2 linked regions of the Xenopus tropicalis genome follow. The protein of the gene in region 1 purifies or fractionates together with the protein of each later gene. This does not show direct contact. Links are inferred from orthologs where the notes say so. Each region holds a gene or a part of one and is shown in the gene's direction. Other genes may lie near its edges.

The links. The genes of interacting proteins can lie anywhere in the genome.
Region 2: the proteins of stx11 (region 1) and vamp8 purify together in Homo sapiens (co-immunoprecipitation; 3 studies listed by BioGRID and IntAct, counting the BioPlex papers as one, with this or other methods). This does not show direct contact. The link is inferred for Xenopus tropicalis from reciprocal best matches to the Homo sapiens genes STX11 and VAMP8.

Annotation. Positions count from the first base shown.
Region 1 is NC_030681.2:45,303,935-45,311,171, forward strand, and holds the start of stx11 (syntaxin-11), read left to right. Parts: upstream 1-3,203; 5' UTR 3,204-3,258; intron 3,259-3,399; exon of another isoform or gene 3,400-3,424; intron 3,425-3,702; exon of another isoform or gene 3,703-3,727; intron 3,728-7,237. UniProt on the Homo sapiens protein: SNARE that acts to regulate protein transport between late endosomes and the trans-Golgi network.
Region 2 is NC_030679.2:125,657,221-125,663,709, forward strand, and holds the end of vamp8 (vesicle-associated membrane protein 8), read left to right. Parts: intron 1-3,560; coding exon 3,561-3,725; intron 3,726-3,875; coding exon 3,876-4,019; 3' UTR 4,020-4,438; downstream 4,439-6,489. UniProt on the Homo sapiens protein: SNAREs, soluble N-ethylmaleimide-sensitive factor-attachment protein receptors, are essential proteins for fusion of cellular membranes.

The DNA of each region.
Region 1 (7,237 bases):
TTTGTTCAGTAGTAAAAATTATCCCACAGTAGGGTCACAGTAGGCTGCTATCTTACGCATAAAGGTCTATTATAGTACTTTGCTATTTTTTACAAAATGGTACAAAAGAGAGTGGGGTGTTGTGGGTTTCTCAACAATCACTGTATAGCACATGTAGAAATTTTAAGGGTTATGGCAAATGGGGAGATTTTTCGGGAAATCTGTGCTACCGACAAATCTCCTAAATATACCCTAGCACTGGTGTCAGTGTGAATCGCCAGAGGTAAAACATGAGAATTGTGTAAGCATTGATGATATGATTCATATGTTCAGCAAATTCACACTGGCGCATTGTTGCTCGCAGTTACCACATAATTCTCACTGGCATCAAATCTCCCCAAATTCCCCAAACTGTTTTTTAAACAAAAGAAGAACTTGTTATTGTTAAACAGTGCTGATCACTGACAGGAATAAAGTGGTTCAACTCCAAGTTACCTCTTGACAATCAAGTACAAGTATAAGTCTTGGCATTTTCTGCCCTGCAAGCTCATTTACTAACACTGGGAAAACTTGCAACTGCTCAGTGATCCATAACAACCAATTAGTAATTACAGTAACTTTTTCAGCCAATAGCAGGAAGAGCAATGAAAGCTAAACGTTATTGACTGCCATCAGTTACTGTCCACGTGTAAAAATGCCCAGTGTTGATACAAGAACTCTCAAGGTCTCTCAGATCATTAAATTCAGGGTCATTTCCTTGAACAAGGAATTGTATTTTTTTTTCTAGTAAATTACTTTATTTTCACATCACATGCAACCTTACTGCATCCTCCCATGAACTGAAAGGGAGATTCCACCCAGGAGGTGGTACAATCACCACAGACCATTGTACTTTAAGAAGAGCAGCTAGTGGGAGGGGGGAGTAACATACGATAAATGAATCACTTCAGGTTGCAGGCGTCACATAACTTAATATAGCTATAGTGAAATGACAAGAAAACACTCAGGGCTTTCCATACAGAAAAGTGGAAACTCGCATATTTCTTATTAAAACCAAAGTTAAAATGGATGGGGGTGGAAGAAATGTATTAGTTCACATGTTATTTTCTTTTTGGGAAAAGCCCCATTCACTGAGGGGTGCTGATATGTAAGGCTGTGTAAGGAGAAAATTGTAGATCTCAAGAGCGCCTTAATCAATAATGACTACAACACATTTTGCAAGGTTGAGCTTGAGAGCCAGTCTAGTTTTGTTTTCTACTACAACTACTATGTAGCTATGTCATACACATACATATAAACTGATAGTCCCTTCATTTTACAATCAGGTATAAAATGTTTTATATATACATGCATAAAACAAAGATGTTTTCTTAAAACAGGTGACCAGTAAATGCCACCCGCTGACTGGTTGCTATAGGTGACTAGACCTGAGGCAAACATTGCACATTTTATTATTATTACATTATTACATATATTACATAACCATATAAGACTTTAACAGAGAAGGTGTAAATTTTTTAGTCAGGGTTCAGTCAGATAGTTACTAAGGTGTGAAGTGAATAATCTCATAAATACCCCAGGAAGGAAACAGCTCCTGTTGAGCATGTCAGTACTTATAGTATGAAGGAGGGCCATCTGGGGTAAATGGCACCCTGTAGAAACACATTATATGACATACACATCATATGAACAATTTATAAACCACCATATATCATTTATAAGGTATAATATTGCTGTTCAGTGTACAGGCAGTAGAATCTGGCTAGGGTTGCTACTTTTGGTGACCAGATGAGAGAAACAAAAATAGGGTGAAACCTGAAAACTTGTGTGAGTTGACATGTCTGTACAGAAAAAGAAAAACTGCCATGCACACCCCTTGTTTGTGGTACCTCACGCAGCAGCAGCACAGGTCACACATTAGAAAAGCTAACCTGAAGGCAGTTCTGCGAAGAATAGATCCGTACCTTACCTAGCGCAGACGTACCTATGGTCAGGGGACAGGCATGCACACGGGCCACCCTTGGGGGTGCATATGGGCACAAATATATCAAAATTTCTCTAAAGAAAAAATATATAGTGTAAAAGGGACATTCCATAATCCTGCATGTAATGCTTTAACTGATTGTGCCTAATGTGCCTTTGGTTGAAATATATTACAGAACCAGTGTACACTAGGTGCCTGTCTTTGTGAATCCCCCACACCATTAATGTAAAAAAAATCAAATACATGTATGTTTATTTGGCTATTTTATACTAAAACCTTTAAAAAGAAAAGCTACAGGGTATGGTATAAAAGTATGGACTGGACTAATCTGGCAGATGAGGGATGTTTAAGGGCCAGGTCTGTGTGGATAAAACTTACAGAGTAGTTATATGTTTTCCTGGAGGTTTCTTTCTGAATCATTTCTTTTCCAATAAAGAAATTCTAAGTATTATCTGCTTCTCATTTAGATGGAAACACCTCCTGCTTACTCACATGGTGCATGTGCTCACCCTGCTTCCTCTTCTGACACTTCACCTCCCACTGAGCAGCACAACAGCAGCAGCAGCCGCCTGTCTATTGCTCGCTGTGAGTGAAGAGGAAGTAGGCTGTGTGAGTGCCACAGCATGGGCATGGCTTGAGGCTTGAAGGCAATCAGCTTGAAAAGTTTCCCAGCTCTGTAATACAGAATTAAGGAGCTACAAAGCAAGAGTTCACCTATACCCAGCAGTTGGTTAAAGGTAAGTGCATGCATTGTTGCTTTAGGTGCATTTTCCTGTGGGGCCAGCTCCTTAGACACTGTTAAGAACTGGTTATCTGATGGACAATTTGCACAGGGCAGGTTGACAGTATATAACATGATAACCGAGACTGGCTGATATAAAGGATAATCAAACACATGACTTTCAGAGTGACAGAAAGTTTAACAGACAGGTCAGTGGGGAGACTTGAAGTTTCTGCGCCCCATAACAAAGTCATTTGCCACTTTGGCAATAATGTATTTTTTATAAAAATATACTGAGACTGAGTTTATCAATCTATGCCCCTCTGGGCGCCCATATTTCCTGGGTTCCCCAACAGTCACAGCATTTGCTTTCTCTATAGTTACACCCCTGAATGAATAAGTGATGCCGTAGCAATAATGTGCTGCATAATCGTATAGAAAGTCCATTACTACAAATTGAAGCAGAAACAATCAGCCCGTCCGGGCTTTATATAGCTGCTTTGTATGAATAGAATTTTCAGTTCATTTTGTTGGCCAGGAGTTGTTCGCAGCTGAACCTGATTGGGAAAATAAGGTGTGTGCTGAACTGGGGCAGACTGCTGGAGATGGGCCAATTACCCTGTAAACTTGTGTCGTTATGATGATTAGAGAAACATTGTGCTTCTTTTTGTGAAAGTGTGTCTTTGTGCTGTTAAGGTTGTACATTGTACCATCAGTGTGGAAGCCAAGCATCCTTTTTGGTTATAAGACCCCCTGTGTTTCCTTTTGGCAATAATAATATGTTTCTAGTCCTCAGTTGCCCCCTCTTTTCAGCCCTTTTTGTACTACAGTAATCTGTCACAAGGTTGTGGGAAATTGTGTAGTTCAAATATAGCAGCAGTTTGGGCACTGTGGGAGTTGTAGTACAGTACTTGCTTGTGCAGGTGCAGCAAACTCCTTTTTTATACACCAGTGAGGGTATTTTCAAGCTCTTGTAAGGAAGATGATTTAATTTGTGGCCTGCGAGCTACAGACAGGTTTGTGGCCGAGACTGCGCATAAATGGTGAGAGGATGATTCTGAGTGTAGGAGATCAGAAATGTGCAGGTTAAATAGAAAGGAGCTTAAAGAGGTTGTAAACTTTCTCACTGTGTCCCTTACTTCTCTTAAGTACATGACTAATTACTGATGCAAGAGAATTTACCAATGAGATTGCTGTTTGTCAGCATTATGTCATTTTGTTATGTTATCACACTGTAGCATCACAAGGGAGGATGCTCTTCTGTGTAGTTCTGCCATAGAAAAGGTTTGTTTAAAGCTTCCAATTACAGTGACAAAACAAACAACATGGAGACTAATCAAAGGGATTCTTATTGGAGGATTACTTTGCATATTAATTTGGGTCACTGGTCCTAGAAAGCTGGGTAGATTTTTATTGTGAACTAGCATACACACCCTGAAGTTGCTGGACTACAGCTCCCACTATACTTAAACCATTTGTAAAATGTTTTTTTGCTTTGTAGTCTAGCACATTTTGGGTAAACTGGCCTTTAAGGAGGTTATACCTGACACCCTGGCCAAACACTCATATTTAGCCTTGTATGAAGAGATTTAAACTTAGTAAGCAATTAGGGCAGACAGGCTGAGAATGCAGCTTCAGAATATTCTTTATGCTGCAAGCAGAGACCTGTAATAAAATGACATCACAGAATCTTCTCTGGCATCTGTTAGCTTCTGTCCCACCATCTAAGAGTGACAATCCAGCTATCTGATTTATACCATAGGAAGCTATGTAAAATGCATATGGAATATTCTGCAGGTTTAAATAAATATGGTTAGCTCCATTCAGCACAACCTCTATAGCGATCACAAGCTTAGATGAAGTGACAAACTGACTTTCATGCCCATGTATTTATGTAGAGAAAAAGACTGTTTTATCATAAAGGAAGGCAGAATCATTGATGCTGGAGAGCTTGTGCAACTTGGATATTATTTAAGGAATTTATAACCATCATCAAAGGAACCCTGTTGCATTGTGTTTACTGACATATCCTCAACTGATAACACACACATCTTTTGATGTGGTTCCCTTTTGGTTCCTGCATTTTCTTAAAGTGGACCTGTCACCCAGACATAAAAAGCTGTATAATAAAAGTCCTTTTCAAATTAAACATGAAACCCAAATTCATTTTTATATTAACACATCCAAACCCATTATAGAGGCATTTAAAAATCCCAGATGTCAATCATATATTGCTTGCCCCGCCTTTATGCCTTAGGCATAGAGGCGGGGCAGACAATAACTTTAGCTTTTCGTTCAGCACTACCTAGATGTCACTGCACATCTCACTTTTCCCCTCCCTCCTCATCATCTAATTGTGTAGCCAGTGCAAGGGCCTGGGCATCAGGTCCCCCATTCTGGCATATAAACAAGATTTTGGCATGATACCAAGCTTGCCTTAATAACAGTGTCCACAAAATGGTGCCTGCCTGCTTGCTTTGATTGAGTAATTCCAAGACGGAAAGAAACAAGATTGATATTATTTATATAGAGTAAGTAAAGTTCATTTTGCTCAACTAACAATATAGAAAATAATTTGGAGTTATTTCTTAGGGTGACAGGTCCCCTTTAAGCACTCTGGACTGAGGAAGGATAAATGTTATGATAGGCTGGAGGATCACCATAAATAAGAACTTCAGCTTATTACAAACTTGCATAATGCCCAGCCCAACACTCTCTAGGAAATGAATCGACCAGCTGCTCAGAGAGTGAATAATAGCAGGCTTCTAGCAGTGTTGGTACACTTAGGCTGTGGTGCTCTGTACTATATTCAGGTGAACAGAAAACACTTTTTGAATTTTGTGCTGCGTTGTATAGAGGACAAAATACTAGAACCTTATTGCATTGTGGTGGATGTAGCTGTAGTGAGCAGGTGGCAGCAAAAAATTGGGATCTTTGCTTTGGTGCCAATGGCATTGATCAAGTTAAAGTGATACTGACACTAAAAAACTACTCCAGATTATTTATGTACATTAAAAGTTATCTATAGGTCATGTTGATTGTTTTGCTCTGATAGCTCTGCTTTTGTAAGTAATTTTTACTTGAAGTTCCTAAACCTGACTGTTTTGCCAATACTTTTAAGTCAATACTTTAAAAAGCATGCAAAGAAAATGTTATGCTATGTAAAAAGGATTCAATTTCTAATGTCAGTATCTCTTTAGATGTCAGAATTATCTTTAGTTACAGAGGATTGGAGGAAGTTGAGCTGACAAATGTATTGGAAATAAGAAGCCCAATCTTTGCTCAGGAACATACAGAACAATAAGGGCCCTGGGAACACCAACAAAGGGCCATCTGGGCTGGTCCCAGGCTGGCCCTGGAGCAATATTAACATTTACAATTGATGGTTTTAAGCTTTTGGAGGGGATAATAAGGGAGACAATACTTGAATATCACAATACTGTGTGTTTGTTCCAGAGGTAAGCAGAAACCTAGACTCTGGGATGGCAGTGGATGTGGCCTACTTAGATTTTGATAAAGCATTTGAAACAGTACCACACAGAAGGTCACTAATTAAATTCAGTAGTACTGGTCTGGAACATAATGTAATGCACATCAAGAACTGGCTGAAGGATAGATTACAAAGAGTGGTGGTAAATGGAGCAATTTCTAATTGGGCCATAGCCATTTGCTTTTTAACATGGGCATTGGAGGTACTCTGTTTTGCTAATGCAACTAAATTGTACAAAACTATATGTTCAATGCAGGATGCTGCCACTTTGCAGTGAGTGATTTTTTTTTTTGAGTGATTTGACTAAATTGGAGAACTGGGCAGCAAACTGGCATATGAGGTTCAACATAGGGAAGTACAAGGTTATGCACTTTGGTAGAAATAACAAATGCAAGTTATACACTAGATGGTAGTGTGTTGGAGGTTTCCTTAACTGAGAAGGATGTTGGGAATTTTTGTGAATAACAAACTGTGTAACAATAGGCAGTGCCATTTAGTTGCTTCTTAAGCAAATTTAGTACTGTCAGGGCCGCCATCAGGGGGGCACAGGGGGGACAGTTGTCCCGGGCCCGGAGGATCGTGGATTTAAAGGGGCCCCAGCCATGATACAGTTTTTAAGCACGGGCCCCCTTTAAAAATTTTCACTTCATTGGTGGTCAGCGGGTAATTTTATACTATTCTTTTATAAGGTTGCGCCCCATGCATGCTGACGTTAAGGGTACACACGGGGCGCAACCTAATAAAACAGTAGCTGCAGCAGCAAAACGTGGGACCTAAGAAGAGACGGGGAACGCAGCCTGACGAAGCGGGCAGGCGAGGGGGAGGGGAAGCTGGAGGATGTTGGGGAGGGGAAGCTGGAAGATGTTGGGGAAGACGCCTGGGGGAGCTGAAGGATGTTGGGGAGGATGCTGGGGGGAGCTGAAGGATGTTGGGGAGGATGCTGGGGGGAGCTGAAGGATGTTGGGGAGGATGCTGGGGGGAGCTGAAGGATGTTGGGGAGGATGCTGGGAGGAGCTGAAGGATGCTAGGGGGGAGCTGGAGGATGTAGAGGAGGATGATGGGG
Region 2 (6,489 bases), on another chromosome or scaffold:
TTTAAGGTTGTCTGTTATCTGATAAAGATATGCTTTTCTGCATTAAACTCAGTGCCTTGTTGTGCAAGAGGTATCTTGATGTTTATCGTATCTCTCGCTGTAACCCTGTCACACCATCTCTTAACTGTGACTTGTCACATCATGGCAGAACATTAACTAAACTCCTGACACCTTTGTCTGTCCTTCCTCAGTTTTGCACTGCAAGAATACCCCTCTCTTCCTCTTCTTGCAAAACTTTTATGTGTGATATATATCTGATAATATTACATTGCTTGAGCTGATTCCATATGGAAACACAGAAAGACACATTAGACAGGGGACCTGTCAACCACACAAAGTTGTATAATAAAAGTCCTCTGAAGACTAAACATGAAACACAAATTCTTTTTTGTGGCATAGAGGCGGGGCAGGCAATATTGTTAATAACAATTACTTTAGCTTTCCATTCAGCACTTCCTATACAACACCAAGATGGCAAATGCATAAGATTTTGGAAGGAAAAGATTTGGAATTATTTCTTAGGGTGACAGGGCCCCTTTAACCTGATAATAAAAAATAACAAAATAATTGTAGCCTCACAGAGCAATAGTTTTTTGACAGCTGGTGTCAGTGGAAAAGAGGTAGAAGAGGAAGACAAATAATTAAAAAACAGTATGTATAGAGACAAAATAAAGACAACCCAAGTCAATATCTGTATGGAAATTCCTATGAGTACTGCATTGTGCCTGGATTGGTTCCTATGTCCTCCATGGGATCTGATTGTCCAGGAGCTAAAAGATTGCATCAACCTGATTTGGTTTAATACTATGTGGCCTGATCCAGCAAAGATGCGCTGTTTGTTGGTGACCTTGTCAAACATAGAGACCTAGGCAGGACAGGTTCATATTCCTAAATGCAATGAACTTATTTAGATAATGTTACTGATATAGGATATTGTTCCACTTTACAGATATACATGATTGTACCTTTGGCATCTTATACACTTTATTTAGTAATAAGTAACCATTTCAATTGGAAATAACTGATTAACTCAGCTAGTCTGTAATTGTGTTGTGCCTGAGGCATAGGCCATTTAGGCTAATGGCATGTGTCTTATTCTTCCCAGCATAGCTTTGCTATGGAGCAGTGATCCCCAACCAGTGGCTCAGGAGAAACATCTTGCTCCCAGTAACCCTAAATCAGGGGCTTATTTTTAAATTTCTGGCTTGGGGCAAGTTTTGGTTGGGTAAAGAACAGGTGTACTGCCAAACAGAGCCTCCTGTAGGCTGACAGTCCACATAGGGGCTACCAAATAACCAATCACAGTCCTTATTTGGCACTACCGGGTACATTTTCCATTCTTGTGTTGCTCCCCAAATCTTTTTACATTTGAATGTGGCTCAGGGGTAAAAAAGGTTGGGGATCCCTGTTGTTATAGAGTGTATGACGTCTGTGGTGCTAGCGCTTCTGTGCGTCTTTGGGCCCAAAAATTCTGTGTACTAATGTTGTCATGCATTTCTCAAAGAAGTGAATTGGAGGTGGCAGAATCTTCTTCTTACCTGGTAGAGAATTTTTCATGTGCCACCAGCCTAAATGGCAGCGCTAGAATTGTTTAGTTGCAAACTATAATGATATGTTGGAGCAACAAAGTCTGCCGTGGTGGATAAAGGACAAAGAAATAAAGGCGTTCTGTTTTGATGAGGTCACAGTAAATAGCATTGGCATTAGCAATGCATTAGCATCTGAGCTATGGAAGGTTTGGTATGTGTGGCGAAGGTTTGAGGATATATCTCATGGGAAATACCGGCCATGCAGTGATCAGGAAGTCACAGCGGTTTGTGGGGTTGGATGCTCGGAGCTCTTGGCAGGGAGTTGTTACAGCACACCAAGCCAATTTAAAGGGCTGATTCACCTTAAAGTTTTATTTATACTTACATATTTAATTTGGATTGAAAAAAAAACAATGGTCCTTTAAGTTTATTGGGACTGGGGAGCGTATACACCAAAAACCAAGTTGTGTTTAAAAAAAATTCTGCGTGTTTTTTAATTTAAAAAATCTGTATTTTTTGCCAATATAAAAACAAATTTTCATTGAACTTACCCTCACTTGCTTTATAAACAGGGCAGTTTGTTTAGATCTTCCTAACTACTTTTGAGCAAACAAATCCTTCCCTTCTCTAAGCAGCAGCCTTTAAAACAGCTTATTATGCAGGGCTTTTCAGTGGGCTGGTAATTAGTTTTATCAACTCCTTTTGAAGTTCATTGGGATCAGAAAGCCTCAGGAAGTGCCAAAGTGAAGCTGGCTTCCTATTCTTGTTTTGTGCCAGAAATGGCCCCCGGGCTCCTGTCCCGTTTTAAGCAAATGCTTACTGCACATACGTGTGTTAGAATCAGTGGAGTCAGTGGAGATAGTGTGTATGCTGAGTGAGCGTTAAGCAGGCTTTAGGCCAGTCTGTAAGCATGTGTATTGGTGTCACTTCCAGGATGAAACATTTTCGCCATAGTGCTTGATGTAATTCAGAGTTCCCCTTCTCAGCATTGACATTATGTGCACATACTTTAACAAAAAAGAAAATCCCATCCACGGTCATCCAAATGTCTTAGCTTCTTTACTTCTTTCTGTTCAGCTACAGTTAAAAATCCAATCTACCGGTCACAGAACCCGGCGCCAAAAAAACTATTGCTCTGTGAGGTTAAACTAGTATTGTTATACAATTGTTATTGTTACTTTATAACTTATCATTCTGTTCTGGCCCTCTCCAATTTATTTTACGCTCTTTTATTCAAGCCACTGTCTGGTTGCTAGGGTAAATTAGGCCCTAGCAAGCAGGTAGCGGCTAAAATGCTAAAGTGGAGAGGCTGCAGAATATAAAGCTTAGTTTAATGTTAAGGGCTCTGGCACACGGGGAGATTAGTCGCCCACGACAAATCTCCTGTGTCTCGGGTGACTAATCTCCCCGAAATGCCATCCCACCGGCGAAAATGTAAATCGCCGCTGGGATGGCATACGCGGCGGCGCGATTTAATCGCGCAAGTTTCCTCTCGAGGCAACTTGCGCGATTTCACTGAAATCGTGCCGCTGCGTTTGCCATCCCACTGGCGATTTACATTTTTGCCGGTGGGATGGCAATCCGGGGAGATTAGTCGCCCGCGAACAGGGAGTTTTGTCGCGGGCGACTAATCTCCCCGTGTGCCAGAGCCCTAAAGGAGAAAGAAAGGTAAAAACTTAATCAGGATTTTTAAAGAAACCTTTATCAGAAAGGTCTACGTAAATACAGCCATATCACTTATAGTAATGCTGCTCTGAGTCCTCTATCAAAAGAAACACAGGTGGGCATATCGGGGAAAGAAACAAGCGGATCTTATGTCTGGCCAGCTTCTTGCAGGGTATCCCATTTCTGTGGAATTGTATGGCTGACCTTAACCATACATGTGCCACAGCTCTTACAGCATTATAGGGAAAACAAATTCTACTGATTATTTTTTGCCTATTAACTGTAAAAGAGTGGCAGCATGTGTGATTCTGTATCCTGGGTCTTTGCAGATTTCTGCCCCTATTTCATTATTGATTACTTTGGCAGGATATGGGAGGGGCAAATGCCCCAGCGGCCCCTGAACGCGTGAGGGATCTCCAGAGTCAGGTGGACGACGTAAAGGGAATCATGTCCCAAAATGTGGAGCGAATTCTGGCACGGGGAGAGAATCTGGATCATCTAAGGAACAAAACAGAAGACCTGGAAGCTAGCGTAAGTGCCCATAGCCATAGGCATCCCATCTAAATCCCTCTCCAGCCCCATCTTAGTTCTCCACTACCTACACTGTTATTCTGCCCATCATCCTTCTCTGTACTCGCTCTATCACTGCCTCACCTTGTTTTGTCTGTTCCTTTCACCCAGTCTGAACACTTCAAGACCACTTCCCAGAAGGTTGCCCGCAAGTACTGGTGGAAAAACGCAAAGATGATTGCCATAATCTGCGTGGTGGTTGGAATTATTGTACTCCTCATCATCCTCCTCGCCACTGGAGTCATCCCCACATAAAGATTGTCACTCGCCAACCAGGCTGCTCTGCCAATGAGGACTCATGATTACCTTTCACTTACTCCTGCCTGATGAGCTCTCCTCAAGCCAATGGAGAGAGGCCAATCAGACTTGTGTTGTTATACTTTGGATGCCTCTGATTGGCTACATTCATTTTCTCCTTATGTGTTGGCCTGTTTCAGGTCACACCTAGATCCAGTGGGGTCTGCATACCAAATGAGTGTATATTTTCTTCCTACACATAAAGGTTTGATTCTCAATATGGCAAATAAAAATATCTAGGTATATTATTTCATTCCTACTTGCAGCCCATTTCCCACTTTGTTTCCGGTGATATGTTTTTGGTTAAGTTCTTGTACTCATTGTACACCATTACCATTGTACACCATTACCGTTATGGACTAGATAAAAGTGTAATATCTACCACTTCTACACTTTCACCAATTATTTTTTTTTAAACCCATGCATGTTTTGCATTCTTGCCTTTATTCATTAGTTTAAGCCCCAAATGATACATTGCTGCCACCCAGTGTATAATCTGATATGGGAATCCTGCTCATTCACTGGTGTACACATTGTTGATCAACCCCTCTCGGCTACTTAGAGTTGCTTCTGTTTGAATTTGTTTGCAGAAATTTCTGGGAAATCTGAATTAACAGTTTATCTATAATGCCACTGTAGGGGACATGTCTCTTTTGTATATAAGGGTAGATTGTATCTAACTAGCTATAATATGCATTCTCTTATTATCAGTTGGGTTCTAGAGTCTTAATATGTTGTTATTATTACTTGCTCGTAGTAGTCATTTGAGGCTCGGTAAATTCTTTTTCCGTACATTGGAATCTTTCCTAAATAACTTGGGTAAATCTGTATGTATTCAGAGAAGAAGTGAATGTGGGTGCCATATTTATCTTGGTTGTTCATCTTCAAATTAACTTTTAATATGATGTAGACAGTGATAATCTGAGGCAATTTGCAATTGGTCTTCATTTTTATTTTTTAATTACTTAGCTTTTTGTTTAGCAGCTTTCCAGTTTAGCATTTCAGCAGCTATCTGGTTGCTAAGGGCCCAATTTACCCTAGCAACCAAGCAGTGGTCTGGATGAAAAGCTGAACTATAAAATAATAAAATGGAGACCGATTGAAAGGTTGCTAAGGATTGGAGATTCTATAACATACTAAATGTGAACTTGAAGGTGAACTGCCCTTTATAGCAGATGACTCTGGGTTAGAGTAGTGAAACTGCTGGACTGCCAGCTTACTGCCTTACAGATATTTTTCATGGATTGGGAGTTGAATTTCTAAGATAAGCCCAGGTTATTATTTGCAGATATAAATTGGGGTGCACTACAGAGACGTACCACTGAGTGGCAGCACCACTTACAAACATGGCCTGAGTACGTTCTGTAAGCAGACCTGCAGTGACACAGTTACACTGTGGATGTCACACTATTCCTTTTTTTTTTTTGTTCCATGCCCTGGACCCTCTAACCTGAGGCTTTGTAGCCACTAAAACTCCTACCCGTGCAGTGACAGCTATCGGTTGCCTGGTTACAGCTGTTTTGCAGCTTTTCATGTTTAAAGGCGAAGAAATGTCTCGATCGCTTGGGTGTGCCAAAAGGTCAAGCACCCCCAGTGATTGTAATCACTTACCTGATACCCCTGTGCTTCTGTTATCCGAAAAACCACACCCCTCTGGGGTGATCCTTTTCCTTCTTTTGCCTTAGCGCAGTAGAGTGAAAAGCTAAACTTCAACAAGAAAGTGGTCTCTTTTACTCTACTGCGCACTCTCCAGGCCCCGGACTCCAAAGATAGACGATGAAAGGAAGAGCAAAATTCTTTGGCATGAACCCTGGGCTGCTGCAGTTTTGGTCAGCAGGAACACTGCTTGGGGTATCAGGTAAGTGACTATAGTCACTGGGGGGTGCGTAACATCTGGCACCCCCCATTGATTGTAACTTTCCTGAAAACCCCTGGCTTGTGATAATGGTATTATTCAGCTGGTTTATACTAGGGATGCACTGAATCCAGGATTCGGCCAACATTCTGCCTTTTCAGCAGGATTCGCATTTGGCCAAATCCATGTTCCTGGCCAAACTGAATCCAAATCTTTAAAATCACATGACTTCCCAGTTCAGTATTCGGCCAAAACTTTTACAAAGGATTTGGGGTTCAGCTGAATCCCAAAATAGTGGATTTGGTGCCTCCCTAGTTTATACTACAGCTCCTGTCATTCCCAGTTTTTCTGTACCCATCATGGCTGGAGTGGTGTGCAATTAACGGCTAAATAACTCCTCATTATCTCACACAAAATTACATTTAGTTTTATTGGGAATCTTAATCTCCTTTTATTTCTGTCACTGACCCTTTCATTTTTTTTCCCCCAGGATTTATTTATATTTTTCTTGTTATTAAAGAATTTAATCAACACATTTTGCCTTTAGTGTTTCATATTGGCACAAAGGGCAGC